7 separate regions of the Mus musculus genome follow, and all the other regions are reported to be linked to region 4. The links are microRNA targets in miRTarBase. Many come from high-throughput screens and were not tested one by one. Region 4 holds a microRNA gene; each other region holds the end of a gene's coding sequence.
Evidence for each region. The annotated mature microRNA mmu-miR-30e-5p reads UGUAAACAUCCUUGACUGGAAG and lies in region 4 at 2,118-2,139, shown strand. An mRNA with a match to its seed (bases 2 to 7 or 8) in the 3' UTR can be bound and repressed. Matches are read on the target gene's strand: a 7mer-m8 pairs with bases 2 to 8, a 7mer-A1 pairs with bases 2 to 7 and ends in A, and an 8mer does both.

Region 1 (3,095 bases), not on the chromosome of region 4:
CTACCAGGTACTGACAGTGCTATACTAAAAGGTATTACTGCAGATGCAAAGATCGTTTAGAGGAATCAATGCAGACAGACAGGAGGGCGCGGGTGTAGGGGAGGGGCAAAGTTAGGAAGAGGGCATTCTTAGGTTCTTGGTTATGAGGCAGAGCTTCATTAAAAAGACCCCAGTGTGGACCGAGTGAGTGGCTGGGCAGCCACATCCATCATTCCTGACCCTAACAGTAAACCCACCCAGTTAGATCCAAATAGTTAAAATAGGAAGAAACCTGTTAACTCTATAGACTCACTTGTTTTTGCTACCAAACTGGAGCTGTAATTGCTAGCAAAGGAGGAGACTGGCTTACTCCCGCCTCGCATCTGGAATGCAGGGTTCTTGGATAGTGAAGACAGCTAGCGGAGGTTAGGACGGCCACTGCCACGATCTCGGCACTGTCCAGGTCGCTGAGCCTATGGACTTACAGCAGTAAGTTTTTCCTTTTCTGGCATGATAATGTAGAGAGTAAAAGATACACTGTCTTATTAAAAAATTAACCTCAGGTCCAAATAATGAAGACATGGAAAACAACCTATATTCCTATTATAATTTGATTTTCATTTATAAAAAAACTTATAGCAGCTGTAAAGTTCAGTTTCATAAAGACAATATGATCCTACAAACAGTCAAGGGATGGACACAGATGTCTCCTGTCTCCTAAGGAACACAAACTGAGGAGAACTATCTTTGCTTTCATTGGCCACATGAAAACTATTTCCACACTACTAAGAACCTCGAGAAACCTTTCTTCTCTTCGTCAACCTGCTCATTATGGCTAAAGACGACAGCTCAACAGCAAAAGCACAGAAGAGATGCTGATGAGACACCCACCTGAGCATTCAGGAGACCCAATTGGAACAGTTCAGTGCTTTCTTATTGTCAAGAGCTAGCACACCAGTCACTGTGCAAAATGCAAATATCCAATGATGGTTTCAGCAAATGTTGTGTAATGACAGGATGAAACGCAAGAGGAGTGACGTGTGCAGAGTGAGACATCAGAGATGCAATGGCAAGTAGGGAAGGAAGATGCAGAAAAGAACAAACGTGCATACTTAAGGGTTACGCTGTCTTTGGGTTTTCTAATGTGTTTTGAAGCCATAATGTCCAGGGTGTCTGTAAGTGTGACCCCAGCGGATGTCTTACCATGCTGTTCTAGCCGCGACTGTTAGGGTTAAGGCATTTACACACACGCCTCAGATCATCCTCATTCCCTGGGATTAGGAAGGACAGGACTGATGAAGAGAAACCAGTCAAGAAGGCAGGTGCTAAGGGCCCAGGAGAGCACCAGGTGCTCAAAGGTAGCAGCTGGAGTCTGGAGATGTTCCTCAGATGCAGGTAATGGTTGTAAGATGCAATGCTGCAAGAAAGGCAGGATAAACTTTAGTCTTTCGAGTCCTGTCCTGTCCTGCTGCCCGGGTGACGGTGTAAACGTCTGTTGTCTTTTTGATGAACTGAACTGACTTCTTCAGTGTGTGTATAGATTTATTAAAACTGCAGCTTTCCTGTGCGAAGATTAAACTGTAGAAGCTTCGAGACGGAGGTTTACAATGATGAGAATCTTTCACTTCTCAATAGGGACACACATTTTCAACTTAATAATTTACCTTAAAATAAATTAAAAATATTCCACAGAGCCAAACAAGCAGGCAGACTCTGGACAGGATCTTCTTGTCTTTGGTGCGCCACTCATTTTCTAACTCATTCAAGTAACAGCACTGACTTCTGCGGGAGAGATGGGAAGTCAACGTTTGAAGGCCAAAATGAGGTCTTTCCACTTTTGCCATGCCTGGATGCCTGAGATGGTCCTGAGTATCTACGATTCTGAGAGCAGCTGGTAGAGGTTAGGACAGATGAGGAGAGAGCAGGGGTGGGACCAGGGCGGAGGAACAGCCCGCAGCAGTCCTGGAGCCTCGTCTTCACTGGGTTCTGCCCAGACAGGAAAATTAAACACAGTGCAATGGGTTATAGTTTTTAGGTGGTGCCCAAAGCAAAGCTCCCACTTATTTCTGACATCCACTTGGTGCTGCTTAACTTCAAGAATGGAAGAAAATGGTCTTCAAGAAGAAATAAACTCCAGAATGTAAAATAGGCAGACAATCTTGCGTTTGCCTATTTTAAAGTGGTTATGGGTTTAATACTGTTCAGAGACTAGCATGTCCATTTGTGAGTTTCATTGTATAGACCAGGATTATGTTTTGAAAGTTAAAAGAAGAATCTATGTACCTCTCTTTCCTGCGGAGACGCAAGTCTCATGAGGACACTCAAGCTTTGTCTAAGCTCAGAGGTCAGTCTGGTGTTCTCAGCCCTCATCTGAGACCTAGTAGGTATGGGTGCTAATGAGGTGATACCAAGTCTCAGCATCAGAGTATAGCCCTGCCCACGGGAAAAAACCACGTAATCCAGTGGACAGTCTGTAAAGGCAAAGGCTGTAATACCAGATATACCACATTGTCCCATGAACTCCAAACCAGCAGTCCATAAGAACAGGTTCAAGGTCCAGAAGCATTCTTGCTATGGTGGAGATGGGGTGTATATCAGAAGGCAGAAAGGCCCAGGACTCATGTTAGCACTCAGTGTTCGATTTATTTGCAAGATGTCACACAAGTAGCATTCTCCCCTGCTTTTCACTGATCTGATTGAGAACATCAATAGTATCTTTGATCAAGGTCTCAAAGATCCCATCAGCCAGCTGCATCTTCACACACAACTCATCCTCATCATAGTTCACCCACTGTGCCTCCTCCTCGTGCAGCTCCTGGACCTGGATGTTAGAAGGCAATACGTTAGCAAGCCTGTCACCCAAGAGCTAGGAACTTACACCTCCCATGTACAATGTGTCCCAAAGAAATCATGTCAATACACCTTTAAAATTAGCATCGAAACTAAAATAGCTCCATTTGAACATGCTGGTATTCCAGCATTTTGTAGATAAGAGAGATAGACTGATTATAACCCATGTCTGTGTTAACACGAGTGAGTGCACACAGGAGCTTACAGGAAAGAGAAGCAGCAAGTTTAGATGGAGCCCTGCAAAGGAAAACTCTACTCATCCAACA
Region 2 (3,095 bases), not on the chromosome of region 4:
AAAGCTCTGTCTCCACCCATACTCTACCCTTAATATTATTGTAAGCATTAGCACTGCCAAGGATGAGAGCATGAAATTCCACTCCAGGCCCTACAGCAAGATGCTGGTGGCCTTGGCAGTGACGAAGGTGAAGGAGGGGTGCTTGTGGCTCAGCTCTGTTGCAGCAGACCAGCTTGTGGTACACTCACCCAGACCGGAACAAGCTAACAGGCTCCCTCTGTCTTTCCAGGTGGGTTCATCAGCTTTAATGGCTCCTGGAGGGTCCAGGGAATCCTAGCCATGTCTCGATCCCTGGGAGACTATCCACTGAAAAATCTCAACGTGGTCATCCCAGACCCAGACATCTTGACCTTTGACCTGGACAAGCTGCAGCCGGAGTTCATGATCTTGGCCTCAGATGGCCTGTGGGATGCTTTCAGCAATGAAGAAGCGGTTCGATTCATCAAGGAGCGCTTGGATGAGCCCCACTTTGGGGCCAAAAGCATCGTCCTGCAGTCCTTTTACAGAGGCTGCCCTGACAACATCACTGTCATGGTGGTGAAGTTCAGGAATAGTAGCAAAACAGAAGAGCACTGAACCCTGCCAGATCTCAGCTGCCCCAAACTAGAGGACTCTCAACATACTGTTCTCTTCATGTAGTAAAAGGTGTGGGTATAATTAGGATCATGCGTCCCAACACAGAACCCCCTTCCCTGATGGCCTTGAATCCCTTTGGAGTACTGAGCAGAGGGTTCCCTTGCTGACACCGCAGAGGCTGCTAAGTTTGTGTCCCCCCAGCCCTTCTATCAGTGTTTGAAACACATACATAGGTAGCCACAGATCCCACATATGAGGCAAAGGAAAGGCAGGCCATATGTTTTCCTTCTTAATAATGTACTTTTCATGATCTCTTCTGTGGTCCTTCAGGGACCTGACTTGGCGTCCTCTCTGAACCTGGGCAGGGCAAGCTGGTGATGCCAACACTTCACCATGACAATGAGGTGGCCATGCCCTCTGCCTTGAAGCAGTTTCCTCAGAAATGCTCTCCCCTTCTGAGTCTTGGTCTTCAGTACTCCAGCATCCTGGAAGGAGACATGCAACACTTTGTAATTTGTTGCCTGCTCTTAGAGACTTGAGAGTTGGGAAGCCAGTGCAGCTTCCTGCACGCCAGACCTCCCCGCTTCCGCTCGCTTCCTTCATTAGTTCAGTAGAGTCGGGATGCAGTTAGCCAGCCCTTACGCCTCTCATGGAGTGCAGCCTCGCCATTTGTTCACACCTTACGATGCATCGAGGGCTGCCGCTGACCTCACCGTGAGACGTGAGTTTTTGTCTCCCCTCACCAAGACTCCCCAGAGAGGGGAGGAAGCAGGACGGAAAGCACATCGCAGTACAGTATGCCCTTCCATCTTCAAGGAGGAATTAGGCTGGGATGGTTCTCCATGACCTTTTGAAAATTGCTGTCTGCACTGGAGAGGAAGGCAGGAGTCCTGGGGTCACCAGTCACACTCACCAACTGCTGGTTTCTGCACAGCCCTTCCCAAGCCCACCCTACCTAGTAGCTTTCATGCCTTTCAAACAGAGGTGGGAGAAACAGCAACCTAGAATCACCCACGGGTGCTGTTCCCAGCTACCACCACAAGTTGGTATCGGGGCGCAAACTACTGGGACGTGCTTCCTGGCAAGAGAAAGACCTTTCATGGTCAATTGCAAATCTCTGTCCATACCCAGGCAAATAGGAACTGTCTGCTGTGACCTGGAGGGAAAGAGCAGACTGGCTCCTGGGGACCTGTGTGCACTGGTTGGGAGTTCAAGCAGGAACCCTCAGAGATAAGCAGCAGAGTTATTTGGGGCCTAGATTACTGCTCTTCCCTTACTAACACCAAAGTTGTGGGGGTTTTTTTCCCAGTCTCTGTACTTTGTAAGTTAATTTATAGGACATATTAGATTGTCCTGTTTGCTGATTGAACCAGCCCCAAAGAGCCACGATTTTCATTGCAGACCTACACCAGAGCCGGCCTTGTTTTGTTCTCTCAGAGAGGCTGTGTGTCGGCATGACTTCTCAAGCCCTGCTCATTAGCTCTCCCTACCCCGGCCCTCTCCTTCAGCTGCAGAGCTTGTAGGAAGCCGAGTCTGGAGAATGAAAGACTTGGACTCTGAGGACTGCAAACTGTCTGGATTCCTCTGGGAACTTGCTTTCCTTTGGCTGCATCAAGAATTAATAATGGCTTCCCAGGAAATCTGCTTACTTTTGTATCTTGTGTTTTCAACATTGGAATTAGGGTCTTTTCTGCTTCTCAGAATGTTTTAGTACAAAACACATTCTATCATGTTAGACAGAAGCATTGATTGTGGAGAGACGTGCACTGATGGGTGTGTATTATGGGTTAGGTGGGTGGGGAACAGAGAAGTCAGGTGTGGGTTTAACCAGTGATGGGATGAGCTTGTTGGCTTAGGATGCTCTTACCAGAGAGTACCCAAAACCCATCTTCTAACTAAAGGTCCAGACTCAACAGCCTATACAGTCAACTTCCCTTCTGTATTTGCTTAACACAAAAGTATATAACAAGAGGAAAAAAATAAATAAATTTGAGACACAAATGTTTGGGTGAAGAAAAAAAGAAAACTGCCAAGTTAGTTGGTTGGTACTCCTTGAGCAAGCAGGGTTTCTTAACCAGCATTGCTGAACCCCCCTAGTTCCAGAGCCTTCTAACTGAGGTTTATAGATATAGATATTATAGATCGATCTTGTACATTTGATCTTGATTTATAGATCTTGTACATTTTGCTTTGCAGAAGTAACTTATTTAACCAAATAGGAAAAAAAAAAGAATATATTTCACTCCTTTCTTGCCTCTTCCCCCCTCCCGTGGCTTGTAGACTTTTTTAAAGATAGAAATTCTAGGCAAAATGGTAGTATTTTGATAAGTAGTTACACATAAGGCCAGAGTAGCTCTTCTCTGTCCCCTCCTGACCTGTGTTCAGCTGTGGGGAGTCTACAGTTTGGTGTGGGCTGGGTGCTCTGGCCACTCCCCTTCTCTAGCAGCTCTGGAAGGGTGACTCTAGCTGCAGGAGACTCGGGTTTGAGAGGGTACACGCGAAGCTTCCATAAACAGCAC
Region 3 (3,095 bases), not on the chromosome of region 4:
TTCTCTCTCTCCTTCATCATGTGAGCCCCAGGGACAAAACTCAGATCATCAGCCTTGACAGCCAGTACCTTTACCAGCCAAGCCCCTCTTGCTGTCCCTGTTTTACATTTTCATTAGTTTAAAAGCTAGACCAGAAGCTGGTGCCTAGACATAGTACTTTCTTATGAAATGATGCAGTTTTAACATACTCTCCTTGAATTTTTCAACACTCAGGATCGAATCCAATGACCTGCCTCTGCTGACGGCCATCGCCAGCACTCACTCTCCGTACGTGGCACAGATCCTCTTATAGCCGACTACAGGACAGCTCTCATTGGAAAATGAGACAGGATGGAGGGTGCTCTCAGTGACGGCAGAGGCGTGAGAACACGGAGCAGGCACCCCTCGTTGTTCCTGTGGCTGCTGCCTAGTGGCTCTTACATTGGGAAGCTTGTGTCTACTCCATGCAGTGGGAGTTTGTGATTGTTCAGGAACAGTCGACATTGTCTCCCAGGAATCAAAAGAAAGTAACCTTTCTGGCAGGAGGGAAGTGTAAGCAACACTGTCAAACTAGACAGACGTGCCCATGCTGTTGGGTAGAATACTGAGGGCTGACTCTGAGTAGTGGGTAACCAATGTCTAGAACATTCCAGAAGGAAAGTGTTTCCTGTTCAAGCGTGAGAGAGCATGAAGAGTTGCTCTAAGAACGGGTTGTGGCTTCTAGGTCAGAGCTCTTCTACGAACATTGACCTGAAGAAAGCCATGTTGTGCCACTGTCAGCCTGGAGCTCCAGCAGCTACTGTTGGACATAGGATGTGGAAGAGGGTTGCCTATTGAGAAGAGAGTGCTCCAGAAACCCACGGTTGTCACTTCTCAGAGCTTCCTGTAGACTCAGCACAGCCACCTGCAGGTCTGCGAGGGACTCAGTGTAGCACCCTGTCCTGCCGGGTATTTTGGAGGACGTAGTCTGGCACTGGGAACTCATCTCTGGCTTTAGTATCTTTAGCCTTCTCCAGAAAGACCTTTTACCAAAGTTGTTTCCATGAGCTCAGGCGATCTTCTGTGGCTGAGCTCGCCCAGCGCAAGCCTCTTTCTTCCTAGCCGGCTGTGCAGATGTCTGTTTGTGCTGTATGGGGCCGCTGCCAGCTGGGGAGTGGACTTGCTCTGATAAGGATAGCAGGCAGCCCGAACATTTATGTGATCCACAAGCGATCTAGGTTTTTATATGATCAGTTCTGCACTTTTTAATCCCTCTCATATTCTTTAAAAAAAAATCTTTCTAGAAATTAACTTGACCATTTGTAAAACTTACCAAAGTGACGAACTGTAAAAACCCAACTGATCATTGAACCTACAGAACCTTAGTTTACTGACCATAAGACAGTCCATGTTCAAATACTTTAAAAACAAAACTTCTGCTGTTTAAAAGACAGGAGCCAGTCAAGTAAAGTCAAACCCTGTGGGCTCCTCAGTCCTTCCCACCAGTCCCTGGTGCCTGAGAATGTGGGACAGCAAATCCTGATCCATGTGACATGTCTGTCTCCTCATTACAAATACAAGTTAGTGGAGACCATGTGCCCCTTACGCTACTGGGGACGAATGCCTACATCATCTCTTAGAAGTGGGCCGGAGTGTGGACGCTCTGGACCCCCTCCCTCCCTTTCCTCTCTTCCTCCCCCTCTCGCCCTGAGCATCTCTCATTTTTTGTGATATGTAAAAATAGGTGGTTCTTCCAGGCCCTTAAGATCTTTAATTTGCATTTTTGTGTTTCACAAAGTTGAAGTGTCCTATTCTTTTACATCTCTTTCCACTTTCTATCACCTGGCATTTGTTTGCTGTTTTCCATTTCCTGGCTCCATGGTACCATTGTTTGCCAGGGAGCCCCACATGTGGCCCGCTGAGCTGTCAATGCAGATTTCCTAGACACCGGTGCCAGCTTAGAGCTCGCCCTTCTTTCTCCTGGCTTCTCTCGTTTACACATGGACTCGGCCTCACCAGCTCCTGAGGATTGGGAGAAAATAGCTCAGTACAGAATCAGTTTGGTCCTCGTGCAGATGTAGTGACATGTTGACAGCTAGACTCGGGGAATTGAGCTGTCACCAGGTTAATTCTCAGCTTCATGAAGAAAGACTTAGCCCAGCACTTCAAAGCCTGAAAAAAATTAAACCTGCCTCTTAATCTAGTGTTCCAAATTTCAGAAGAAAAGTGGGAAACCCTGGGCTCACGTGGGTTATCTCAGCGCCCCACCATCACTTGCAAGAAAGATGCGCTGCTCTTCTCCTGGCTCCCCCGGTGCGGGCGATGACGATGACGTGTCCTTTGTCTTAAATTCATCCTCTTCTCAGAGGCGGGGAAAACAGTAAACAAAGCATCTCATGGACCTGTGCTGACGCGGATGCTGTCATTCTGTCATAGCCGAAGAGTCCGAAAAGGTGTCCCACCTAGGCATAACTCAAGGGGAAAAATCTTTTTTTAATGTTTAAAGAAATCTACCTCAGTTGACAGGATTCCACCTGCCCTAGGGTTTCTTCAGCTCTTCAGTCTTACCTGTTAGGTGTCACTGGGCAGCGCTCTGCTTGTCTGACCAAGCAGGCTGGCGAGGCACAGCCGAGCAGAAGTGTCTCAGTGTCCTGTAATGACCTCTTCTAGCATGTTGCAGTTTTATATTTGTTAAGTTGATAAGTGATATGAATGTATAGGCAATTGTGTATGTTTTCAAAAAGGACAATGAAAATTTAAAATGTAGCTTCCACACTTGTGCATAATTCCAAAGTATCTTATTTTATCAGTGTTAAATAGCTTTTGTACAGCTTCAGCCCATTTTCCAGACGTGTGCTGTTTTATACGGGAAGTAACTCATGATCTCACTCACGGAGCTGTGTTTACACATCGCAAATTTTTAACTTAATGTGTTTTTCAGAATTAACTTTTTTGGAGGGAGGAAATTCCCCACTTGCTAAATGATACTAAACTGTTGTCTGGACTCTTAAGAATCAGGTCTTTGGATTTTATAAACTAGTCTGTAGCTTTTTAGGTTCTTCATTGGTTGGATGTACATAGAGAATATAAAACAACTCTCAGATTCTTTTAAGCGTCTGAAGTTTTCCTTGGATGCA
Region 4 (3,095 bases):
CCCGGGAGCAAGTGGGGCCCAGGAGCAAGAGGAAGAAGGGAAGGGGGGAAATGAATGAATGAATGAATGAATGAATGAATAAATAAATAAAGTAAGAAAAACAAATTTATCATACCTCTCACTTCAGCCATAAAGTGATCTATTTTTAAATACATTTCAAAAATTACTTTCCCATATATACTTAACTATATCACTCACTTGAGCTTAGTGGTTTTGTTTTTGTTTTTTTAACCTTAAAACTTTCAATAAAGTACACAAATCATATGGGAGAAAAAGTGTTGATTTTTATTATTCAAAGGAAGGGGAATAATATCAGACTTGAAGAGAAAGTCCACTTGTGACATTCTTTTCAGCTCTGTGTTCACTACCTACCTATAGTAAATTCAGGCTTGAGTATTCAGGCTCAAATTCGGATTAAACTATTCATTAAGCAGTGCAGTTTTGATTTCTAAACTAAAACCCATAGGTAACATAAAAATCAAGCGACTGGATTATAAGTGCCTGTAAAAAGAAAAACAACAACAACAACAACAAACAGTGCTTAGGGCCTTTAAAAAGATCATACAAGTGAATGATGGGCTGACCTTGTGGACCACAGAATGCCAGTTGAGACTGCTGGCTTTGTCCTGAATTAGCCAGAGGATGGTGGTTTTACAACTTTATGGAAGCTTTGAAACCAGAACAAGCAGAAATAGTGGTGAGTAGGGCTCAGATGTCCTGGCCTAGAGCACGAGATATGTGTATCTCTTTCGTTGATTTCTGTCCAGCAAGTCTGATATAAATTGAGCTGTTCTTATTTTTAGCTCTAGACAAACCTAGAGATTTTTAGTACAGTCTAAAAGTCATCTCCTTGGGCTGGGGCATAGCTCAATGGTAGAATACCTGTCTAGCTTGTGTAAAGCTCTAGGTTTAATCCCAGACACTGGGACTAGGGGATAGGAGAGGATCATGTCCTTTTACTTGAAGGATAACAGCCAAAAGAACTAGATTCTTCCTAGGCCAGTTTTTAACTTTGTTTTTCTTTGTTACAGAGGAATGATATTGCCATGGCAATTACAAAATTTGATCAGTTCGACTTTCTCATCGATATTGTTCCAAGAGATGAACTGAAACCTCCAAAGCGCCAGGTGAGCTGGGAGGATTTGCTCAGCTGCCACCTCCAGGGCCTGGGCAAGATGCTCTCCGGAGCTCCTCCCTCCCTCCCACCCAAAGCATTTCTTGTTTGTGGTTCTCTTCCGTAGTCCAGATCATCCTCAGCATCTCCTTCTACTCATTTATGGGTACTTTTAACTCAGTGCCTCTGGGGTGGGGTTGCAGTGAGAGAACAAAGTTAAAAAGACTAGTCACAGATAGTGGGGTGAAGCTCAGTTCAGGATTTCTTCATCTAAAATAAAAGCTTTTTCAGCCAGTCAGTTTTCAGATTCTAAGAAACAACCTCTTTGTGCATAGTGATCAGATTGGAGCCAGTGGCTTTTATTTTCTTACTCTATGCTGTGTCTCTGTAGTGTGATGACTCTACCCATCATCCACTGAGTCAGAACCTATGACCCCATGACCCCAGGAATCAATAATTAAAGTTCCCTAGATGCTTTGGTGTCCAGTGAAGTTTTAGAACCACCATTTACATTTTTCTTTTTAATTACAAGAACTAAGTGTCTGCCCTTCTTCTGCCTGTTCATCTCCAAAGATCACACCATTTGTTTTGTTCAGCACTTGGGTGCATATAACTTAGTTGTGATTGTGATAGACCCCAGTCCTATAGAGCTCATTGTTTCAGGCACGCAGTTTGCATGATTCACTAGGTTTAGTGTAATATGCCTCAGAGAAGTAAAGCCATACCATGTCCTGCTTGTTTTATTTTTGTTCATAAAATATAAGTGTTTTTAACTAATTATTTTGTAGTATACTGTTTAGAGTCATTTAATGACAACCATTCTCCCCATGTTGACCTGTACAAATAACCAGTCAGAAAACCTGTTGGAGAAGTGGGCATCCTAATTGACATTAATTCTGACCCTGCATGAGGGTTTTTGGGTTAGCAAGCCCTGGGTCACCTCCTTATGGGAGCAGGTTGTGCCTCACTGAAGCTCTTTATTTTTCTGGGCAGTCTTTGCTACTGTAAACATCCTTGACTGGAAGCTGTAAGGTGTTGAGAGGAGCTTTCAGTCGGATGTTTACAGCGGCAGGCTGCCACAGTCGTCCCCGGCTGCGCTCATCGGCTTTGAGACATTGCAGGTTTGTGCCCATGAACTTGTCTCCTTTTCTTGGGTTACTTCCTTTCTCTCTGAGAAGTCACAAGAACTCAGACTGTCTCTCTTCGTTTGGAGCTGATAATACCATGAGCCTGTTTTCCTTATTGGATTTTTGCTCCCATGTATCCACCAGGAGTTTCCTTTAAAGACAAGGTGGTAAGATCTGTGATGCAGTCAGGCATTGCTCTTATTGTACTGATTGTTCACTATGGGCTGCCTGCTGAATAGATGACTAAAGAGAAAGTTATTATCCTATACCAGTGGTTCTCAGCCTTCCTAATGCTGCACCATTTAATACAGTTCCTCATGTTGTAATAACCTCCCAACAATAAAATTTTTTTCATTGCTATTTCATAACTGTAATTTGCTACTGTTATGAATTTTAATGCAACTATCTGTTTTTCAGTAGTCTTAGGTGATCCATGTGAAAGGATCTTTCCATCCCACAAAGGGGTCACAACCCACAGGTTGAGAGCTGCTGACCTATACCTTCCTCCAAAGTTGTTTGTTCTTCTGGGTCTGTCAGGGTGTTAGATTTGCTGGTGGTCTACCCCATCTCCCTCTTTTGTTCTTTGGTTTGGTTTGGATTTTTGAGATAGGCTCTCCCTGTGTATCCCTGGCTAGACTAGACTGTGTAGACCAGGTTGTTCTGGAACTCGGAGAGATCTATCTGCTTCTGCCTCCTGAGTGCTGGGATTCAAGGCATGGACCACTATACTTAGTCCATCTCCCTTTAAAAGGTATACAGCAAGAACACTCCTTTAGCTGCCTGGTTTTAGTTCTTTGTAGGTGTTTGAGCTATTGATTGGCATCCTATTCAGGACAGCTGCTGCCTGGCATTTA
Region 5 (3,095 bases), not on the chromosome of region 4:
ATGATATACCCAGCATGGGTACTTCCCACTGTGGCTTGACCAGGTGGGCCAATGAGGCAGTTGAGGTCCAGGGTATGTGCCCTTCTCCTGTAGCCATGAGTCTGGGGTCTCTCTCTACAGGCATTACCCCAGGAAGAGCTTCACTATTCATCCGTGGCATTCAACTCCCAGAGGCAGGATTCTCACGCCAATGGAGATTCTCTTCATCAACCTCAGGACCAGAAAGCAGAGTACAGTGAGATCCAGAAGCCCAGAAAAGGACTCTCTGACCTTTACCTGTGACTCCTTGTCACCTGATCCTCTCAGTGGTGACTACCAGGTTCCAAGGCTCCCTGCTGGCTGCTGCCCTCAATGTCATGAGCCTCAGTGGCTTCACTAAAGATGAGCAGGAGCCAGGGCTCTGTGGGCACAGTCTCATCCCACTGGCTCTCTCCTCTTAGCCTGTATTTTGTTCTGCCTCTGGGTGTGGAAGACATCGATGCTGCTCTTTTGGGGCTCTGGGAATTGACATGGTTCGTATAGAACGGTACTTGTGTTAGTTAGCTTTGTAGTGTCAGTCCAGGAAGAACATCTGTGGTCACTGGGAAAGTGGGGGACCCATGAGACTACAAAGGAAGGGGAGTCATGGAGGTACTAAACACCAACTCCTTCATCTCACAGAGAAAAAAACCTAAGCTCTGAGGACAAAAGCCTGGCCCGTGGCACCAAGGTCAGGGGCAAATTCCTCTGGACTCATTTTTATTTTTATTTTTTGTTTTTTGAGACAGGGTCTCTCTGTGTAGCTTTGGCTGTCCTGGAACTCACTCTGTAAACCAGAATGGCCTCAGACTCACAAAGATCTGCCTGCCTCTGCCTCCAAAGGTGTGTGCCACAATGCCTGGCTTCTCTGAATTCTTAAGTAAAAGATGAAATAAAGTTTATAATATCTTTTAAAAAAAGATTATTTATTTATTATATGTAAGTACACTGAAGCTATCTTCAGACACTCCAGAAAAGGGCATCAGATCTCACTATGTTTGGTTGTGAGCCACCATGTGGTTGCTGGGATTTGAACTCAGGACCTTCAGAAGAGCAGTCAGTGCTCTTAACCACTGAGCCATCTCTCCAGCCCTAAAATACCTTTTTAAAGGGAGAAGAAATGGTTTAAATGATGTCTGTTACATGCCTGTAGCCCCCTATTAAAGCCCAGCTTTGAAGTCAGAGGAGCCTTTGGGGTTCAAGGGGTTGGGAAGGACATACCAACTGCTGTTCTTGATGGAACACACAAGAGTGTTTTCTTACCAGGGTGATTTTAAACTTGCATCAAAGATGACTGTGTTTCCAGGCTGCAGTAGCTACCAATGGTTTGATCTGCCCAAATGATTTTTCTTACAACTCTTTTTTTTTTTAAAGATTTATTTATTATTATATCTAAGTACACTGTAGCTGTCTTCAGACACACCAGAAGAGGACCTCAGATCTCATTACGGATGGTTGTGAGCCACCATGTGGTTGCTGGGCTTTGAACTCAGGACCTTCGGAAGAGCAGTCGGTACTCTTAACCACTGAGCCATCTCTCCAGCCACTTCTTACAACTCTTAACACTGTGCCAGAAGCAACTCCTAGGGTAAGCTGCCCCCAGAGTGGTAGGATGATGGCTATTTGTGACTTCTTTGAATTTTTTTTAAAGACAGAATTCTTGCTGGGTGGTGGTGCACACCTTTGATCCTAGCACTTGGGAGGCAGAGGCAGGCAGGTCTCTGAGTTTGAGACCAGCTTGGTTTACAGAGTGAGTTCTAGGACAGCCAGGGCTACACAGAGAAACCCTGTGTCAACAAACAAACAAATGACGGGATTCTTTATAGCCCAGATTAGCCTTTGAACTTGCTGTGTGGTCAAGGATGACTTTTTAGTTAATGTTTTATTGCCGTGAAGAGACCCCATGATCAAGGTGACTCTTATAGCAGAAAACATTTAACTGGGGCTGGCTTACAGTTCAGAGGTTCAGTCCATTATCATCATGGCAGGAAGGGCTTTCTTCTCCAGCCTGAATCCTTTAGATTTCAGTTCATGTACCCCACCCTCCTCCGCCTGTGCATGTGCTCGTGGTATGCACACCCATGACTCATCCCCCCTTCTTGTACTAATGTTTTGAGACATAAAAGGGGAAACACACATACACGGATGGATACACGCCCAAAGCCAGGTTCCACGGTGTGTGGGAAATGTGTCAGGACAGTAGGGACTATGGGTACAGCAAACAGAGCCCTGATCTGCTCTCAGCTCTGTCCCAGGCCATAACCCCAAACCCACCAGTGGTTCTTTTCTCTTGAAAGAGCAGTGGGCACTGGGACGCGCAGATGGGACTTAAGAGTCTTAAGAGGGGAAGTAGGGATGCTGTGGCCAAAAATAGAGGGCTACGCCCATGAACAGCTCGGACACAAAGGTTTAGTTGGGTGACTAAATTAGACTGCCAACTAGGAGGGATGGGTAGGGAAAGGGGAGCCCTGCTTCCCAGTGTGAGTCACTCATTGTGGGTGGCCCAAGTGCCCAGTCAGAGGCAGTTTTCATCACCTATGGACATGTCTCTTCCTTCACTTTCTTCTCCTCATCTGTTTCCTCTTCCTGCTGCCTGGGCCAGATCAGCCCAAGGGCATCTTTCATTAATCTCTTCATTCCTTCCTTCATTCTCCCATTTATTCAACTATTCACTCACCTACTCACCCATCCAACTGTCCATCCTCCCAACCTCCCATCCATCCACCCATCCACCCATCCATCCATCCATCCATCCATCCATCCATCCATCCACCTACCCACCTACCCACCCAGCCATCCATCTATCCACCCACTCATCCATCCACACATCCACCATCCACCCCACCCATCTATTTACTCACCTACCCATCTATCCACCCACCCATCAATTCATCCATCCATCCATCCATCTATCCATCCATCCATCTGTCCATCCATTCCATATTTCATACACTCCCTGCAGAGCATTTAGGGACCTGCTTCACAACAGACAGAAGACTGGAAACAGGGAAGCATAGGACAAAACCCCTGCCCCACATAGACTTTTGTGTTTACAGGGATATAGACATGGCCTTCTC
Region 6 (3,000 bases), not on the chromosome of region 4:
GCTAAGAGTATTCAGAAACTGATTTGTTGTTTTAGATCTTGGCTTTATGATGGTGTGATCTGAACAGATTGCATGTTAGGCAAGGGTTCTACTACTCAACAGCACCCCTCCCCAGCATCTACTGTTCTTTTCAAGTTTGGCATAAATTCCTTTTATAATTTTCTTTCTCCTTTAGGAAAATCTATTTGACTCTTTGACAGGGCAGCCACATCCTGAGGATGTACTGATGTTTGCTATTCCAATATGTGCCCCTTACACCATCATGACAAACTATAAGTAAGTCACTGTTGTCTCGCTCATACTCATTGCCAAGTAGCTTTAGGAATCTTTGATCTCCATGTAGTAACTGGTACAATTTTTTTTTTTTTTTAAGATACAAAGTGAAACTTACACCTGGAGTTCAGAAAAAGGGGAAAGGTAATTTAGGTGTTTTTTTTTGTGTGTGTGTGATTTTTAAATAGTTTAGTGACTAAACCAGAAGTACATTCTTGTGTGCTCTCCTTACAGCTGCGAAGACAGCCTTGAACAGTTTCATGCACTCCAAAGAAGCCACAGCAAGAGAAAAAGACTTATTCCGAAGTGTGAAGGTAAGGTTTCCCTTCAGCTCTTGTCTGTTGTCTTGACACAATGCTGTCTCCCCAGGACCCTAAGTAGGTTTACTTGGCAAAAGCTGTAAGTGCCTTTCTCCTGACAGTAGAGTACACGTAATTACCCTAAATAGGATATGACAATATTACGTACTTTTTGTTTGTTTGTTTTAGGACACAGATTTATCAAGAAACATTCCTGGAAAAGTAAAAGTGTCCGCACCTAATCTTCTGCATGTGAAGAGGAAATAGCTGGGATGAGAGCCTCAGCACTGAACAGCCAGTTTGTAGCCTTTGGAAGGTCAACGATGCAGACGTGTTAACAGGACTTCCACTTTACAAATGAACATACTGCCTTGCTATCACCAAAAGGACTTAAGATTTTTTCCCAAGTTTTATATATATCTATATAAACTATGATAGTATTTCCTAAAATATTTGTGAAAACTTAATGATACACATCTGTAATTGTATTGTTCTACATTTTATTGAACTTCTTGAGGTTTCATTTCATGATGTAACGACCCTGAAATAGCTCAAGTGCATAAACTACTGACGTAGTGGTCTACTGTATATAACATCTAATACATAGTACAGCCAGTCACGAGAGGTTTCGTTTGGTTAATGGAACAATTAAACATTTAAGATTTGTGTCTTGAACACTTTGCCAAATTTTACATCAAATGCAAAAAAAAATAACACAAGAAAATGACAGTTGTTTCCGTGTATTCATATCTATCACTTTCCTCCCTAACTTCTTCCTTGTAATATCTCTCAGTTGTTTGCCATTTTCTCTCCCAACCCCCAGCAGCTGTCAAAGAGTTAAAACTGTCTTAAGTGATTTTGGTTTTTCCAAGTCAGGGTTTCTCTGTAGACCAGACTGGCCTTGAACTCAAGAGATCCGCCTGCCTCTGCCTCCCGAGTGTTGGAATTAAAGGCGTGCATCACCACCACTGGGCTCAAGTATCTTGACCTGTAATAACAGAAGTGCATTTTCTTGCTGGGTGGTGCTGGCAGCATTGGGGAGGCAGAGGCAGGTAGATCTCTGTGAGTTTGAGCTCAGGACAGCCAAAGCTACAGAGAGAAACTGTCTGGAGTCTGGGAAAGGTCAAAGATGCTTTTTGGCTTTTAGGCTTATCACTAAAGATTCCTGGACCAGTATTCTTCTGGCTCCTATCAGAATAGAGAATGAAGCCATACATGATTTCTCTGTTCATGAGGTATAAGCTGCCACTTTTTAGTTAACTGGGTAGTAGCCATGACCATCACATGTCCCAGGACTACACCAACACTTGAAGGTTGGAGCAGTGCATTAATTGCAGCTTGGGCTGTCTAAGGCTCACTGCCGCCCCAGCATACACACCCAGGGTGGCAGCACACTTTGAGTTGCAGTGCTTGAGGGGGCGGAAGATAGAGGGTTACTGATTCAAGACCAGCCTTAGCTACATAAGGTTAAAGGCTACATACAGATGGAGCATCTTCACATTTCTACAGTTACATTACATCCACATTATCAAAAGATAAATGTTAAAATTGTTATACCCAGACGTGGGATAAAAAGTCAATGCAGGGGTTGGAGAGATGGCTCAGGGGTTAAGAGCACTGGCTGTTCTTCCACAGGGCCCACGTACAGTTGCCAGCACCCACATTGCAGCTTGTAACTCCTGTTCCAGGGAATCCAACACCCTCAGGCATGCAGGAAAACACCATTCAGTATACATAAATAAATCGTTAAAAAAAAAAAAAGCCAACACAGTAATTTTTTTTAACTTTAACAATAGACAGGTACTGGTGTTAAATACATTTATTGTAAACTTTAGACACAAAAATAGGTTCTCTAGGCCATTCACATGCACATAAAACCCAGGAAGCTGCAAACTACAACGATGCATATAATTATACAAAGGATGACACTGTGTGACAAGTACGGGGCTGTTCTCCATGCAAGTGGACCAGAAGAAGTATTATCTACAAAGCTTTATGATCCAGAAGTGTTGTTACTACCAAACCTCTGATTAACGCTGTGAAGTAAGTGTTTTGGAAGGCAGCTCCACGAGTTGGCTAGCATCTCTTTAAAGCAGATGACTGCTTCTAAGCTTAGCCTAAAGTAGACAAGGAAAGTGAAAATAATTTTACTAGATAGATAATTTTACTAGATAACTTGAATGAAGACTAATGCCTTTAAATAGTCATATACCTGGTGCCAAATACTTACCGTACAAGAGATTTTGGTTGAACTGAAAATATAAGTACTTCATTACTGTGTGCCTGAAAAAAAGAAGGAACAGGTAAAATGCAAGTGCTGAAAGCAGGCTGGTGTGCTACACTCACTCCTGTATCCTCAGCTCTAGGTAGCAAAGGCAGGAGCACTGGGCAAGAGCTGGACCAGAGCTGGGCCTACAGTCAGTAGTGA
Region 7 (3,095 bases), not on the chromosome of region 4:
GGCTGCTGCCAAGGTAGGGCAGGAGTGTCAGCCCACTCCTGTTGTCTCACTCTGAAGAGTCAAGATGTCTTTGAGGCCAAAGACTACAGAAAGTAGGCCCTAGCCTCTTCTCAGTTGTGTTCAGATGTCCCTATACTGCTAGGGTCAGGATTCGGGTGGGGGTGGGGGGACCTTTGTCATTTCTTATGGCTCATCCCTTCTGGGTCAAGTGATGTCTCTTAGCTGCCTGTCTTGGCTTCTGCTGAGTATGGGTGCCTTTGAGTGGGAGGTGGGGATGAGGTGAACGAGATCACCTTCCTCCTAGGCCGGGGGCTGCTCTCCAGCACAGGTGGATTCCCGTGGAGGTGGCTGCAGTTGGAAACCTCATGTTTGTCTGGGTTACTGGGGATGCAGGAGGCGAGACAGGCCTCACCTCCCTGGTTTTCCCCTCCTTTCTCAGTGCCTGGAGAAGTTCCCTGTGATCCAGCACTTCAAGTTCGGGAGCCTGCTGCCCATCCATCCCGTCACATCAGGCTAGGAGAGGCTGAACTACCAGAGCCACCCTGGCCAGGTTCCTGTGCTCTCTGTGACCCAGCACCCCTCCCGCCCACCTTCTGTTCTTTCTGTTTGATGAGAGGCTGTTTACTGAGATGGGTGCTAAGCAGGGCCTGAGTTGGGGGAATTGACCACAGTGTGCCCAGTTTTTGACTGTCCTCCGTCTGGTGGCCGAGTAAGAAGAGAGGGGCCTGGACGTGGTCCCCGGCCCTGCCCATCCCTGTGCTCCTGCTTCCTCCCACGGTCAGGCCCATGTGGAGGAGACAAGGACACCCTGCTCTTGTCATTGCTCCCCCTTTCCTCCCCATGATGTAATGGTTCCCTCATTAAGAGCAGGAGTTCCGTGCCTCCAGGGCCGGCTGGTGGGTTCCCCGCTAGCTGTGTTCCACTGGGTATCTGCTATGGAGCTGAAGGGTGAGGCTGTCATCAGCTGTTGGGAGGGCTGGGGTTGGGGGAGGTTGGTTTGTAGGGGCCATGGATGATGAGGCTGGTCTTCTCAAGGTACCATCCTAGGCCCTGGGGGACCTGTGTCCATCCTCATGCTGGCTTTGTTCCCTGGCCCTTGGCTTTGCTAGGTTTCCTGACTGTTAACATAACACTCCCCTTCCTGGGGATAGCCTAGCTATGGAAGCTGCCCTGGGCTCCTGGGAAAGCCCATTGCTTGGGTGAGATCTGACTTTCCAGAGCTGTCAAGCAGGGAGAGGAAGAGACTCCGGGAGGCAGTAGGACTGTTGTGTCTGTGGAGAACCTAGTTTTCTCCAGTCAGTCTCAGGCCTGCTGATTCTGCTGCCTCTGCCTGCTGAGTGTCTGAAGCTTCCCCCGAGGCCTTGGCTTGCTGCTCCGCTCCCTTGGGTCGGTTTGTGGCTCGTGTGGGAGAGCAAAGAAGGTAGCAGCCCCCTCCTCCCACTTCCCTCTGTGAGATGAGGGAAGTGCTGGCCTGGGCCTAGGCATAGACTCAGAATGGGTAGGGCTGCTAAGGGGACCTAGCCACAGTCACCAGTTTTCTCTCAGCGTGTGGCTGAACTGGAACCTGCAGGCTTTCCTGTCCCACTTGGGCCTGCCCTTCTTCACTGCCCATCCTGTGTTTGTGCCCGCTTAGCTTTGTGGAGTGGACACTGAGAAGCACAACTCAGGGGCTTGGCCAGGAATTAACTATGGTCTGGGCAGAGCGGGGATTGAAGTCATCAGAGTCACAGGCAGTTCCCCAGGAAAAGCCCAGTGCCAGCTTCCTTCCAGGGCCAGGCCACTGCCTTCCTGGCTCCCTTCCCTGTCCCTGCGTCCCCAGCCCTGCGCCTTCCTTGCTATTTGGATTAAAGCCTCTGTTTTACACCTGTCCCCTGTGTGAGACATCTTTTCCTGACATGTCTGAGTGACTGTTCCTCAGCAGGTGGTTTTGTTCCTCAGGAGGGTGGTTTGTAGGGGCCATGGATGATGAGGCTGGTCTTCTCAAGGTACCATCCTAGGCCCTGGGGGACCTGTGTCCATCTTCATGCTGGCTTTGTTCCCTGGCCCTTGGCTTTGCTAGGTTTCCTGACTGTTAACATAACACTCCCCTTCCTGGGGATAGCCTAGCTATGAAAGCTGCCCTGGGCTCCTGGGAAAGCCCATTACCAGTTGACTTTCTGGGGATGGGATATGTGACAATGACTAAAGCAGGCAAGAGGGTTCAAATCCCAGCCATCCCCCTGGCTCACTCCTAATGGCAAGTTTGTGGGTAGGTTTCTGAGCTACTCTGGACCCCACCCAGCACCCTCATCTAGAAAATGGGTATAATCACAAGTGGCACTGGTAACCCTGAGTCTAGACCTGGTTCAGAACACATGCTGTGTTGTCACTGTGATGTGTATGTGTCTCCTGAACCTGCTGGGCACAGGTCCTAGGACCTGGCACAGGCTGAACAAGAACCAGATGTCAGCCTTCTACAGCTGCTCTGCACTCCTGCCGGCCCAAAGACGAGGCTCACATTGAACCTTACATCTGCCCTTGTTAGAAGTAGCCCTCTTTGTCCTTAGCCCACCTTCTGGTCTGTTATGCTAGGGCTGAGTACAGCTGGGCAGTGACTCCCTAGACACCAGGCGAGCCTATGAGTGGGAGCCTTTCTGCTGTCCTGGAGACTTTGCACAAAGGCAGGAAGAGGAGCCGCAGCTCGGTCACTTTGCTACATCCTTGGTTGCCCAAAGCCGTGTCTCCAGTGTCCACCACACTTGAATTCAAACCCAAGGCCAGCTGCTTACAATGGAGGAAATCCATGATGGCTGATTTTACCTCTCTGAGCTCCAGTTTCTTTATCTGAAAAACGGGCATCATAATGCACTGTGGTTTATTTAGCATGGTGGATCTCAGCCTTCCAAATGCTGGAATCCTTTCCAAGCATAAAGGATTTTTTTGTTTGTTTGTTTTGTTTTTTGGGTTTTTTTGTTTGGTTTGTTTTTTGTTTTTTTGTTTGTTTGTTTGTTTGTTTGTTTGTTTTTGAGACAGGGTTTCTCTGTATAGCCCTGGCTGTCCTGGAACTCACTCTGTAGACCAGGTTGGCCTCCAACTCAGAAATCCGCCTGCCTCTG

Region 1: the mRNA of Cep350 is a reported target of mmu-miR-30e-5p. Seed matches in the 3' UTR shown: 7mer-A1 at 1,463-1,469.
Region 2: miRTarBase lists Ppm1l as a target of mmu-miR-30e-5p. The part of its 3' UTR that is shown has no 7-base or 8-base seed match.
Region 3: miRTarBase lists Fnip2 as a target of mmu-miR-30e-5p. Seed matches in the 3' UTR shown: 7mer-A1 at 1,951-1,957 and 8mer at 2,859-2,866.
Region 5: miRTarBase lists Cd300a as a target of mmu-miR-30e-5p. The part of its 3' UTR that is shown has no 7-base or 8-base seed match.
Region 6: the mRNA of Klhdc2 is a reported target of mmu-miR-30e-5p. Seed matches in the 3' UTR shown: 7mer-A1 at 2,396-2,402.
Region 7: miRTarBase lists Ptpa as a target of mmu-miR-30e-5p. Seed matches in the 3' UTR shown: 7mer-m8 at 619-625.

The regions. Positions count from the first base shown.
Region 1 is chr1:155,845,928-155,849,022 of GRCm38, forward strand. It overlaps Cep350 (centrosomal protein 350), which reads right to left. Exons shown (of 38, transcript NM_001039184.1): 38 at 1-2,800. The coding sequence ends at 2,636. Among named protein-coding and RNA genes, the nearest start is that of Gm51652, 19 kb to the right of the region's middle.
Region 2 is chr3:69,552,599-69,555,693 of GRCm38, forward strand. Ppm1l (protein phosphatase 1 (formerly 2C)-like) reads left to right here. Exons shown (of 4, transcript NM_178726.3): 4 at 230-2,806. The coding sequence ends at 576. Among named protein-coding and RNA genes, the nearest start is that of B3galnt1, 45 kb to the right of the region's middle.
Region 3 is chr3:79,456,860-79,459,954 of GRCm38, reverse strand. It overlaps Fnip2 (folliculin interacting protein 2), which reads left to right. Exons shown (of 17, transcript NM_001162999.2): 17 at 214-3,095. The coding sequence ends at 292. It also overlaps a transcript of Gm17359 not described here. Among named protein-coding and RNA genes, the nearest start is that of Gm36442, 54 kb to the left of the region's middle.
Region 4 is chr4:120,771,704-120,774,798 of GRCm38, reverse strand. It overlaps Mir30e (microRNA 30e), which reads left to right and starts at 2,102; the gene lies at 2,102-2,193. Nfyc (nuclear transcription factor-Y gamma) reads left to right here. Exons shown (of 10, transcript NM_008692.4): 5 at 1,032-1,127. It overlaps Mir30f (microRNA 30f), which reads right to left and starts at 2,193; the gene lies at 2,102-2,193.
Region 5 is chr11:114,901,009-114,904,103 of GRCm38, forward strand. It overlaps Cd300a (CD300A molecule), which reads left to right. Exons shown (of 7, transcript NM_170758.4): 7 at 121-938. The coding sequence ends at 282. Among named protein-coding and RNA genes, the nearest start is that of Cd300a, 13 kb to the left of the region's middle.
Region 6 is chr12:69,309,842-69,312,841 of GRCm38, reverse strand. It overlaps Klhdc2 (kelch domain containing 2), which reads right to left. Exons shown (of 13, transcript NM_027117.3): 12 at 2,803-2,855; 13 at 2,155-2,689. The coding sequence ends at 2,566. Nemf (nuclear export mediator factor) reads left to right here. Exons shown (of 33, transcript NM_025441.3): 30 at 176-276; 31 at 374-417; 32 at 508-587; 33 at 762-1,299. The coding sequence ends at 839. Among named protein-coding and RNA genes, the nearest start is that of Klhdc2, 15 kb to the right of the region's middle.
Region 7 is chr2:30,445,938-30,449,032 of GRCm38, forward strand. Ptpa (protein phosphatase 2 protein activator) reads left to right here. Exons shown (of 10, transcript NM_138748.5): 10 at 440-1,870. The coding sequence ends at 517. Among named protein-coding and RNA genes, the nearest start is that of Ier5l, 27 kb to the right of the region's middle.